Linked DNA regions of Drosophila melanogaster. The protein of the gene in region 1 interacts with the protein of each later gene in a biochemical or structural test. Each region holds a gene or a part of one and is shown in the gene's direction. Other genes may lie near its edges.

Evidence for each region.
Region 2: of the proteins of P32 (region 1) and dhd, one has a biochemical effect on the other in vitro, tested with the Drosophila melanogaster proteins (one study listed by BioGRID).
Region 3: of the proteins of P32 (region 1) and ProtA, one has a biochemical effect on the other in vitro, tested with the Drosophila melanogaster proteins (one study listed by BioGRID).

The regions. Positions count from the first base shown.
Region 1 is NT_033778.4:17,670,660-17,674,637, reverse strand, and holds P32 (P32), read left to right. Parts: upstream 1-1,997; 5' UTR 1,998-2,103; coding exon 2,104-2,308; intron 2,309-2,428; coding exon 2,429-2,773; intron 2,774-2,831; coding exon 2,832-3,073; 3' UTR 3,074-3,329; downstream 3,330-3,978. Other genes in the region: Sema1b (semaphorin 1b), read left to right, coding at 1-66, 130-328; IBIN (induced by infection), read right to left, coding at 3,413-3,538.
Region 2 is NC_004354.4:5,310,209-5,313,771, forward strand, and holds dhd (deadhead), read left to right. Parts: upstream 1-1,962; 5' UTR 1,963-2,251; coding exon 2,252-2,575; 3' UTR 2,576-2,914; downstream 2,915-3,563. Other genes in the region: snf (sans fille), read left to right, coding at 1-221; TrxT (thioredoxin T), read right to left, coding at 1,030-1,503; CG4198 (uncharacterized protein), read left to right, coding at 3,225-3,563. UniProt on the Drosophila melanogaster protein: Participates in various redox reactions through the reversible oxidation of its active center dithiol to a disulfide and catalyzes dithiol-disulfide exchange reactions. As a reducing substrate of peroxiredoxin 1, thioredoxin 2 is preferred over thioredoxin 1.
Region 3 is NT_033779.5:14,878,430-14,883,183, reverse strand, and holds ProtA (protamine A), read left to right. Parts: upstream 1-1,531; 5' UTR 1,532-1,673; intron 1,674-3,544; 5' UTR 3,545-3,565; coding exon 3,566-3,946; intron 3,947-3,995; coding exon 3,996-4,055; 3' UTR 4,056-4,134; downstream 4,135-4,754. Other genes in the region: ProtB (protamine B), read left to right, coding at 497-877, 927-980.

The DNA.
Region 1 (3,978 bases):
GGCTAAGAGCCGCCTGATGGAGGCCCAAATGGATGAAAGTCACCGCAATCATTTCGGCAAGCCAATGTAAGTTTTATCTTGGAAGATGCAAATCCATATTGGACAATTCTAATTAAATGGTTTTGACAGGCAATTTAAACATCAAAATACTGGCAAAGACATCAACCTGTTAATGGGCTCCAATGCCTATACGACCACACAAAAAACACCTAATCTGGATTTAGAAAAGGATCGCAGTCATGAGTGCAAAAACTCCACGGAACATTTGGAAAAAGAGCTGCCCTGCAAAACGTCAACGCTGACAAAAGTGAAACGCACTTACATCTAGTGGCCTTGTGAGGGCAGCCAACTGCAAAATTAGTCGAATTTCTATACTCTAAAACATATTTTCGTTGTTTATGTTGCTGTTAGTTATAGTAACCCCCCACCCAATTTGCGAATAATGTAAACGACAGTCTCGGATGCGTTTGAAACGCATCCGAAAGATAGGAAGCAGAGCTGTTGCGTCTTTTTTACTTAGCTTGTATTGTAATTTAATTTGATGTAAAATTTGCGTAAGCTTAGTTTCTTTGTCAAAATTTAGTTAAATTTATTGACAACGTAGTGTGCGGGCTGCCGCAGCCTGGAGCTAACCCGAAGCATTCCGCATTCCCCTGACGTCGACCTTTGCTGTCCAAAATAGGAGTGCCGGCTCTTGGCTACGCAGCCCGATTGTGTCGCCCCTTATGTGTACTCTTAATGTATAATCTTTAAGTGCAAATATTAGAGCTGTACAAATTTAATCACATATCATGCATACCGAAATCGAACCCGAAGCGGACCAGCCCCAATTATTTCTCGAAATTCAATCGAATATTCAACAAGTATTTTGTTAGACTGAATGATTAATTATTCTATATGAGTTTGTTTTGTGGAGAACTAACAGAATGCGACAGAGACTTTAAAGCTCTATGCTTTGTGGCTAACAAAAGCGTAAAATTGTATCTAACATAAGCTCTATAAGGAATTGAACATAGAATGTAATTAAAAGTACGAACTAGGCTAAGAAACGAAGAAAACTTCTATGAGGCTGTTTGATAAGAACTGACACCGCAGCCCCCACATCATCAGATGGAAAAACGCACAAGAAAGCGAAAATAAATGAACACTGCAACAACAGCAAGCCTTATAAATAGTATAAAATCGTGTCGAATCTAGGCCTTAACGCTAAACTTGTAAGCTTTGGATGGAAATAATGAGCTTGGTTGGCAATCAACGTAAATCAGCATTTTAATAATTTTATGTTTAATTTCTAAGCTGTTGTCCGTCCCACTAAAGAAGTTGCATAAATACAATGTACAATGGCAATTTTATTTTTAAAACGTGTAAAATGCAATTTTCATCGTAATTAATATATTTTTATACGTATATGTACGCCTAATGTCTAAATCTTAACATAAGAAAGTCTTAAAAATGGAAAATCCCGATAAAAGCTATATATAAAATATTTTTAAATCTTACAAAAAAAAACGTAATGTAATGATTTCTCATATTGTGATAGATTTTATTGAAATTTTAGAAAGATGAAATGATATGCCTTTTGGTTGAAAAACAATGATATATATGACGAACGAGTCTGATTGCATGCATGATAATATTGCGTAGGAATGGGTCTTCCACTCGGAGGATCAAGAACCAGAGAAAACCCTTCATGGTGTTTAGTTTTTATTACTGTGTATGTCCTTGTAATGTGTATATTGTTGTATACATCCGATAAGCAATTCGTAAATCTAATAAAGTCGTCATTTTTTTCATAACTCAATGTGGTCTTTTAATAGGTTCGGATCTATGAAACATTGAATTTTTACAGCAAATATGGTTTGGTTATATTTATTGAAATCAATCATTTTTCCAATAAAGGCTAATTTCAAAATTTGAATAGTTTACGATAAAGCCTTTCGCGCCGAAAAATGATCGATAACTTCTGATATGGCTCTACAATACATCAGCCTCGTGATTTTCTGAATAAGATTCAACGGTCACACCAGGCACTACACTTTTGGCGTGTTGCACATTTCAGTGTTTAATTAAAGTAAAAAGCCCAGGTCGCGGTTATATAACAAAATGAACAGCCTAAGGACAGCAACCATGCGATTTGCCGCTCTGGCCAGCTCCAGTGCCGGATCTCTCGGCAAGCGCGATTTCACCCGCAGCCTGTGGCACATGACCAAAAAGCCGGTGACAGCCGGAGGATCCGATCATGTAACCGTGTTGAATCTCCACAAGCCCAGCATTAATTGCACGTGCGGCTGCAACGTGCACACCAAATGTAAGTTAACTCAACAAATTCTTACATGGGCGGTCCATGCCGCCGGTTACATAACCTCAAACGTTGGGTGACGAAATGTTGACCAAAACACAGAAAATTAAACGCTTTGTTTATATCCAGGTGAGCGGGAACTGGTGGAGTTCCTCACCGAGGAGATAGTGGCCGAGCGCAAGGTTCAAAAGGGCAAGACGGTGCCAAGCACCCTGGATGGATTCGCCGTAAAACTGACCGGCGCCGATGTGGAGCTCACCAAGCAGACGGATAAGGAAAAGGTGGTGGTCAGCTTCAATGTGAACCATACGGTGGACAGCGAGGAGGAGCCCGAAATCAACCCCAATGCTGACAAGCCGGATCTCGGTGAAATGAGAAGCAAGCCCCAGTTCGAGGTGGACATCATAAAGGGCAACTCTACGCTGTCCTTTACCTGCAGCTTCCTTCAAGGCGAAGCTCAGGAGGGCGAGTACAGTGAGTACTTTGACAGAAATCGTTTTGATTCACCGATAACACAGGTTTTACCTTTCAGACGATGTCTTCTCCATTGATGAAATGGCCATCTTCGAGGGCGAGTGGAACGATAAGGTCTACGCCGTCGCAGGCGACGTGCTTGACGGTTACTTGTACGACTTGCTGATCAACTTGCTGGAGGAGAAGGGCATCAGTCAGGAGTTTGCCGAAAAACTGTCGGACCTAGCCACTGCCCATGAGCACACTTCCTACATTGGTCTGCTGGAAAAGCTCTCCAAATTCACTGCCGGTGGCAAGTGAATGTTCGTCCCACTTAATCTTAAAGCATAAAGTTGTGTAGGTTTTTAAGTTTCTATTGTCTGCTGTCGCAGTTTCATCACCTAAAACAGTTTTTATTAGTTGTGTTTTTGGTTTAACTGTGACAGTGAAACTTAGTTTTTAAGCCATAAAACATTCATACATGTTTCAGATAAAACTATAGAAACGGTTGCCAATAATTCACCCTTTTCGGCATCAGCTTCGCTTTGGTTTTTAACAAATACAACGTTAATTCCCTAGTTTTTTTTTTTGTTTATTTTCTTTCTATGGTTGCATCGATTTTTCGTAAAGATTTTCCTGTGGGTTGAGTTTCGTGATCATTTAGAACTGCCGGAAATATGGCCTGGGATCGTAGTCACTTGGTCGGTATCCTCCCCAGTCCTCGTGGTTCTTGCAGGCGGCGCAGATGAGGAGAGCGAGGAGCACGAGGATTGGCAGCAGTTGCATCTTGATTAACGGCAAGTTAACTTTAGATTGTGGTGCTGCAGCTTTTAATGCTCCTCTTTATAGGTGAGATTGCCTCACCTTATCGTTGAAATAGTGACCTTTCTCTTGGGGAAGTACTCCGATCTGTTTATTGGGCGATGGGATTTACCATTAATGTACGACCTATATGTGTTATTGTTTCACAATAAGCAGGATTATCAGCGTGGAGGCCATGTAATGTCATACTTTGTCATTAAGATGGATTTTATATATTTCGTTAAAAAGCTTTTTTTTATACGACCAATAATAAGAACTGCGACCATTACCTAATCATAGGCTTGTATATACTTCTAAGAAACTCAAAGACGGATTCTGTCTGAATATAACATTTTTTATAGTTCGCTACTTGAACTTATTTATAAAACATTCACTAAATAATTTACATAAGGATACGAGTCATG
Region 2 (3,563 bases), on another chromosome or scaffold:
TCTTCCTCACCAATCTGCCCGAGGAGACCAACGAGATGATGCTGTCCATGCTGTTCAATCAGTTCCCCGGCTTCAAGGAGGTGCGTCTTGTGCCGAATCGTCACGACATCGCCTTTGTGGAGTTCACCACCGAGTTGCAGAGCAATGCCGCCAAGGAGGCGCTGCAGGGCTTCAAGATTACGCCGACGCACGCCATGAAGATAACGTTCGCCAAGAAGTGAACGCAACTCCAGTCGCCGGGCGTTCCAGCAACTCCAATAATAATTTAAACTATAGAATAAATCGATATAAACAAACAAACTACGAGTATTCCATATGCCCATATCCCTCCCATATCCCATTTCGCCCAAAGATCCTTAAAGGCAAAAGTATAGAATAGAATAGTTGATTGTTTATTGTGTAGATCTATTTGTTTGTCTGCAAACTTATAACTAACAGCTAGTAATGCGTATTATTTATGTCGGTCGATTGTACATATTTCCATTTAGTGTATAGTATATGGTGTATAGTAGTATATATATATATATATATAGCGTCCCTTTGCTCAGTCTGCATGGTGTATCAAGCTCGCTGCAAAATCAACATCAGTTTGGTGTGCGGGAGCGTGTGTTGAGTAAGTCCCACAAGTCCTCGGATTCCCAAAATGTTTGCTATATGTAGAATCGTTCAGCGACGTAGTCCTCCTCCGCCGTAACAACATCATCAGGCTTACAATTGTAATGCAATCATCATACTTTAGGCACCACAAATGATGAGTATTATGAGTGTGCATAATAAATCTGGGATAAGTGTGTGTATTATATATATATATATATATATATACATCGATAAGTGTGTGTGTGTGTGTGTGTGTGTGTCTATGTATATATATATATATATATCTATTGCTTTCTTCCGTTACGTCTGTTGAATGATGAGCTGCAGGAGAAGGAGCAGGGAATCGGTTATGTGACCACAATGCTTGCACTCCGGCAATCGTACTTACATACATATGTTGTCGTTATGTTCGGAGTGTAATGGTACTTTTGCCTAGTGCTCCAGAACGGCATTCTCGTCGTGGGCGGACACCTCATTAACGTTGTTGTTGTCGTTGTCGCTTTCACTGGACTCGGCGGTCAGATCGACAATGCATTCGCCATCGATATGGACGGCCTTAACGTCGGCCGCTTCATCGGTATAAACGCCGGCATGCTTCTCCATCAATTTGGCCAGCTTATCGGAATTGCAGCCAACGAAGAGCTCCAGCACATTGCCGCCCTTGATGAACACAAAAGTGGGCATGCTATTCACATTGTATTCGACCGTAATGTCCTCGTTCTCGTCCACGTTCACCTTGAGTACGACGACACGGTCCGAGTACTGCTGCGCCAGTTCGTCCAGCTTGGGTGCTATTATCTTGCAAGGTCCGCACCAGTCTGCATAAAAATCAATTACCACCAGCTTGTCCTCGGCGAGGATTAGCTGCTGGTCAAGATCGTCCTTGTTCCGCACTGGGTACACCATGACTTTAACTAAATTCCAAACGGATTGCAAATCGAAACGAAACAAAAAAAAAAAAAAATGGGAAGAGAAGAAAGAAAAAAAAAAGGAAAATGTTAGAAAATCTTGTTTTGGGTGTAAAATTCACTTGATTTGTTTTGTTACTTTTGAATTTTAATGGAGCTCTGCCCTCGCCGAGATATCAGCCCGAAATGAAAATTGTAGGGCGGCAGGCGTTCTTTTATACAGTTTTCGCCAAATATTTTGCGGCCTTCTTGGATTGAAAAAAAAGTGTTTTCAAATGTCAGCGGCGCGGTGTGTTGAGGTGAGTTTGGCTTCGAACCTACCACGGCTATGGCAACACTCGAGGAAAATATTAGTACTATGTCGTGTGACGCCATTATTTTGCCATAATTACGATAATAATATTCATATCGATATCGATAGACCTGCCGTGGTGAATAAGTATGTTCCCCACCCCCCAACACACTCGGTTGGCTTTCCCAACGACCTGGCAACCCTAACACGCCCGCCATTTTGCACTCTCCATGGGCCGCCATTTTGTTTAGCGGCCACGCGAGAATTCAGCATGCAAATTGGCGGGAATTCCACTCTACACACCGCCACTTGGAGACCCCTATAAAGTCGCCTACGCAGCCGCCATTTCAATCAGTTCACAATTTGCAGCGAAAGCGCCAACAGCCCCATCACGTCAAGTTCTTTAATTTAAAAAAAAGAAGAAAAACACTTTGCTAATCCTCGCGACATAAAAATGGCATCCGTACGCACCATGAACGACTATCACAAGCGCATCGAGGCGGCCGACGACAAGCTAATCGTGCTGGATTTCTATGCGACATGGTGTGGTCCCTGCAAGGAAATGGAGAGCACCGTCAAATCGCTGGCCAGAAAATACTCCAGCAAGGCGGTGGTGCTCAAGATCGATGTGGACAAATTCGAGGAGCTGACGGAGCGCTACAAGGTGCGCAGCATGCCAACGTTTGTCTTTTTGCGCCAAAATCGACGCTTGGCCTCCTTTGCCGGCGCCGACGAGCACAAGCTGACCAACATGATGGCCAAGCTGGTGAAGGCGTAAGCAGCAATCCTGCCCAGCAATTAGCAATCAGCAGCGCATCTTTTTTTTTTTACTTATTTAACTCATCTTTTAAACATGTTCGCCTCATTTGTGTTCGTTTATGTATTCGATGTTATGTGTATGCTCATGTGATGTTTAGCTTGTAAGCGCGAGATGTGGGTAGCAGGAGATGCAGTGCAGCCAACAGCAGTGACCAGATGATATATGCTATGCTACTACTACTACTTATATGCTATGATTTGTGGCGCGGAGGCGTGTCTGCGACACATAATCCCGCCCATTTAGCTTTAAGATTCAGGCACTAAGAAGCAATTCGATCAATAAATTATTGTAACCACTCTGGACATTTAAATGTTAACATGGAATCAGCTTTGTTTTTTTTTTGCCCACAGCATTTGGATTGTTAACCAAGTAGGCGCTGCGTGGTCATGTCATTTCGGGTTCCAGCAACATTTGGCATTTGCTAACCAAACTTGAGATCACACACACGAAAAACAAAAAATCCCAAACATTCCGCAGCACAAATTCAATCAAATCCAAAACGCACATTTCGGTCGCATCCAAATTGTACGGATTTCGTTAGTAAATAAAAATCAAATTTCGTGTAAATCCAATCCATAATCCGTGGTAGAGTAGAAACCACACCATCATGTCGTATCAGATCAAATCGACGCCCTACTTTCGTCGCATGTTCAACGAGAGCAAGAAGAATGGCCAACTGCAGCGTCTGCGTGATGAGTACGAGCGCATCCAGGAGTTCAACGATCGCACCATCGAAATGAAGATGCGACAGGTGCGATTAAAGCGGCTATTTCGCGAGATCGAGGTAATTAAGGTGGCTGGCGGGGCGGCCGGTGGCGCCAGCGGTGGCGGCACATCGACGGCATCATCGCCATCGAATGTTGACCAATCGTTTGGTTTAGCCGGCGGACGCGTTACCCGCCGGAGACGGCAACAGGCACACGGTGCTATCACGCTGGCTAGCAGC
Region 3 (4,754 bases), on another chromosome or scaffold:
TTACATGCTGCAACAACACTGGCAGCAAGCGCGGGCAATTAAATAAATCATAGCGGTTCACGCGGTTCGGCCGAAAGAAAGATCCAGTTAATCTAAAGAGAAACTCTTAGTTCTTTCTTTCGTTGTCAGAGTGAAATTGTAAATAAATTACACGTCCTGATTGATCAACTTTTTGTTCGTTACAAAACAACGTCGGGAATCAGATTGCAACTGTTATTAATTATGGGCTTTGTTGCAGTTGCAACCGCTTGTCTCCTGCTGTTCAGGTCTTCATCCTGGTCGGTAGGGCTTGGGCTTTACTTTTGGTTTGAGACTCGGATTGCTCACTGAATAAGTGACTTCTCTAGGACGCAACTCTGCGGCTTCTGGGGCCAACACTCACATGCGGGGGGAACATACTCCATCACAGTTGATGGCTGACATCGTACACAACAAATAAATCCCATATAAAACTTCCCTTTCCTTTTCTTTTCAGAGTTTGTAAAAATTTTCTACGATGAGTTCAAATAATGTAAATGAGTGCAAGAGCCTGTGGAATGGCATAATTTCCATTTCTGCAAAAGATGAAAGTCCTAAAGGTCTCACTGAAATGTGTAATCATCCAAAGAGGAGAGCACCGCCCAAATGTAAGCCAATGAAGTCCTGTGCAAAGCCGCGCCGAAAGGCAGCCTGTGCCAAGGCGACTCGGCCCAAGGTCAAGTGTGCACCGAGTCAGAAGTGCAGCAAGCAGGGACCTGTCACTAACAACGCCTATTTGAATTTCGTGCGTTTCTTCCGAAAGAAGCACTGTGACTTGAAGCCGCAGGAATTAATTGCAGAGGCCGCTAAAGCGTGGGCCGAGCTCCCGGAGCATAGAAAGGATAGATACCGCCGGATGGTACGTATTTTTTTTTTATATTATGAAGACTATTAATTTGTCCTTTCAGGCATGCAAGGTCACCACCAGTGAACGCCACAAGCGCCGACGGATTTGCAAGTAATACTGAGATAGGAAAAAGTCTGATGCAGTTAAGTCCAGGCATATATTTTCATTGATTTGATACCATTCGATGAATTTAGAAATAAAAAAAATTAAAAACCGGGTTTCATTTTTTTTACGATTCTAGGATGTTGGAATAGCGCGAATGGGTATTTGTGGTTGTTCCAGGTGCCCGGCGAAATTCAATTTATTATTCCACTATATGAGCTTTCTAATGAGCTGTGATCCAAAGAAATGAAACGGCTGAGTGGTAAATGGGCACGGCAATGGTGAATTCGAAGATATGGATAGGCTTCTGCTTCAAGCTTTTCCACAGTTCTCTGACCAGGCGTCTGTTGTGAGACAATCGAAATACCCAAAAATTGTTTCACATAATTTATGCCACCTATGAGGAAAACTTGCCACACTGCCACTGGCAAAGGGAAACATGGGGGCGTAACCACCTAACAGAAGGATGTTTCCCAGGATGCGTATCCGCCGGCGTCGTTTCGATCAAATCTAACTTTATTCCATATAGTTGGCGTAGGTTTTGCCGTATACCCCTTATACCGGGCAGTCGGTTTTTTTAAACATTAGTTGTAACTTGGTACACAAACAGTTCACAAGCAAAATTTTTCCAAAAGTCTTATTTTTATGCTCTTCTTAAAAATTAGTTGTGACAAAAATTTGGTTTAAAAAAAAAAACTTTATAAAGGTAAGTGAAATAAAACGAATTACAATTTATTTTTACAGAACAACATACCATACAAATTATTTTAAACGAAGCGCATAATTATTTTTTATTGGTATGCCAATCAGTTTCGATAAACTTCATTTGAAAAAATTTTACTTTCAAAAATTTCTTTTAAAGAAGCTTTTGTGAAATTCAGTTCTGTAAATGCATTGTGATGCGATTAAATTAATGTCGACTGTCGACGTGGCGTGTTTGCCTCGATATCGGATGGATGTGGCCCTCCTATCTGGCTTTAAACTAATGCCGGGGGTAGTCTGTCGACAGGCAACCACCTTGCCACGCCCCACGCCTTGTAATGACGTCATTTACATGCTGCAACAACACTGGCAGCAAGCGCGGGCAATTAAATAAATCATAGCGGTTCACGCGGTTCGGCCGAAAGAAAGATCGAGTTAATGTGAAGAGAAACTCTTAGTTCTTTCTTTCGTTGTCAGAGTGAAATTGTAAATAAATTACACGTCCTGATTGATCAACTTTTTGCTCGTTGACAACCATAAAAGGGCAGTAGACAGGGGGCACACTGTCATTGTGGCCGAAAATGTCCAGGCAGCCGCTCGTAAACATAAATCCAAGTGACGCTAATTGTTTGTTGCAATTACTGCTGCAGTTGTTGCCACCGTTCAGTTACGTGTGCAGCCAAATGGGGCAATGAGTGGGGTTTTGGGCTAAGGGGTGGTGAGTAGGGACTTGTGCTTGCATGCAAATTTTGTTGCATCTGCAGTTGCTGCTGCTTGTGCTGCTGCTTGTGCTGCTGTTGACGCTGCAGCAACGGCAAACAATTACTCAAACATTGTTGCATCTGCTGCTGATGTTGCTGGCACTCATCTCGTTGTGCGTGCTAAATGGCAACTACTCTGGCGGCTAATGATAATCACTCGACGCCCTCAGCTCCTGTCGGTTCCTACTTAGTTTTACCTGCCCTCGTTGGCTTTTAAATCTAGTTTAGCACTTAATCAATCAAGGCTTCCTTTCATTGAAGAAAAATAGCTTTGAAGATAACTTCCTCCCGGCGAAGCCCCAATAATATCCATTCAACTCGTGCTGTTTTTTTTTATATTGATCCACAAGATAATTTTAAGTTCGAAGAGCCAAAAGGAGCATATTGGGCCTTCAATGAAGCTCTCTAGCTAAAGCGAATTTTGTATTCCAACTGGGTGTTCAGTGGGGTTTGATAGACAATGCAGGCAGTGTGGTGCGATGGCACAGCTGGTCACAAATTGTAATTTGTACACATCCATAACGATTTCAAATTAATATTTCGAATTAATATTTGTCAAGCCCAAAATATCAGCTGTGGGTGGCAAATAAATTGCTCGGATTTGAGGAAACTTCAGTAATCTTGAATTATACAGATATTGGTTTAGCTTTTTTATCCTTGGAGAGTCCTTCTATTAATTATTTACCACTGCCCATTTGCTGTCGGGTACTAATTTTCATTACAAACTACTGTAGATTTCCATGACAATTATATAACCAGTTCTTAATACTCATTGGTCTTGGCTAAGAACCGCCACTTAGGCTCCCACACATGGTGACTAAACGTCGGTTGTCGGGAGGCAGCTTGCAACTGTTATTAATTATGGGCTTTGTTGCAGTTGCAACCGCTTGTCTCCTGCTGTTCAGATCTTCATCCTGGTCGGTAGGGCTTGGGCTTTACTTCTGGTTTGAGACTCGGGTTGCTCACTGATTAAGTGACTTCTCTAGGACGCAACTCTGCGGCTTCTGGGGCCAACACTCACATGCGGGGGGAACATACTCCATCACAGTTGATGGCTGACATCGTACACAACAAATAAATCCCATATAAAACTTCCCTTTCCTTTTCTTTTCAGAGTTTGTAAAAATTTTCTACGATGAGTTCAAATAATGTAAATGAGTGCAAGAGCCTGTGGAATGGCATAATTTCCATTTCTGCAAAAGATGAAAGTCCTAAAGGTCTCACTGAAATGTGTAATCATCCAATAAGGAGAGCACCTCAAAAATGTAAGCCAATGAAGTCCTGTGCAAAGCCGCGCCGAAAGGCAGCCTGTGCCAAGGCGACTCGGCCCAAGGTCAAGTGTGCACCGAGGCAGAAGTGCAGCAAGCAGGGACCTGTCACTAACAACGCCTATTTGAATTTTGTGCGTTCCTTCCGAAAGAAGCACTGTAACTTGAAACCGCGGGAATTAATTGCAAAGGCCGCTAAAGCGTGGGCCAGGCTCTCGGAGAATAGAAAGGATCGATACCGCCGGATGGTACGTATATTTTTTATGTTATGAAGACTATTCATTGGTGTCCTTTCAGGCATGCAAGGTCACCACCAGTGAACGCCACAAGCGCCGACGGATTTGCCAGCAATACTGAGATAGGAAAAAGTCTGATGCAGTTAAGTCCAGGCATATCCTTTCCTAACATTCGATGAATTTAGAAATAAAAACCAATTAAAAATCGTGTACTTTTTATTACGATTCTAGGATGTTGGAATAGCGCGAATGGGTATTTGTGGTTGTTTCCAGGTGCCCGTCGAATTTCAATTTATTATTCCACTATATGAGCTTTTGCATGAATAGATAATGAGCTGTGATCCGAGGAAATGGAACGGGAAAACTGCTAAGGCTGAGCGGTAAATGGGCACGGCATTGGGAATTCGAAGGTATAGGAGGAGTTGCGTGTGCTTCAAGCTTTCCAGAGTTCTCTGACCCGTCGTCTGTTCTGAGACAGCTAAATTGAATTATTAATAACACGCAGTGCCCGCAATGTTATGGATGCCATAAACCCGTTTCTGCAACTGTTCTGTGAGTAAATGTAATGCACATTGTGGTTTTGGGAAGACAACCTTGGGACAGTTGGCAAAAATAGCAAACGAAAAGGCGAATGGAACGGAACGGACTAATCGCAGCACTTACGACCATAATTTGTCAATTTTCGAAACAATTCCCAAGGCTCGCATAAATTGTCTGGTGGCCTCCTGTCTCCTTTTCCCTGTCGTTGGCTTTTGGCACCCATTACAGCTCATTTCTCTTACTCAGAGAAACATTGCGCAGTGAAAAATGAAAGTGAACC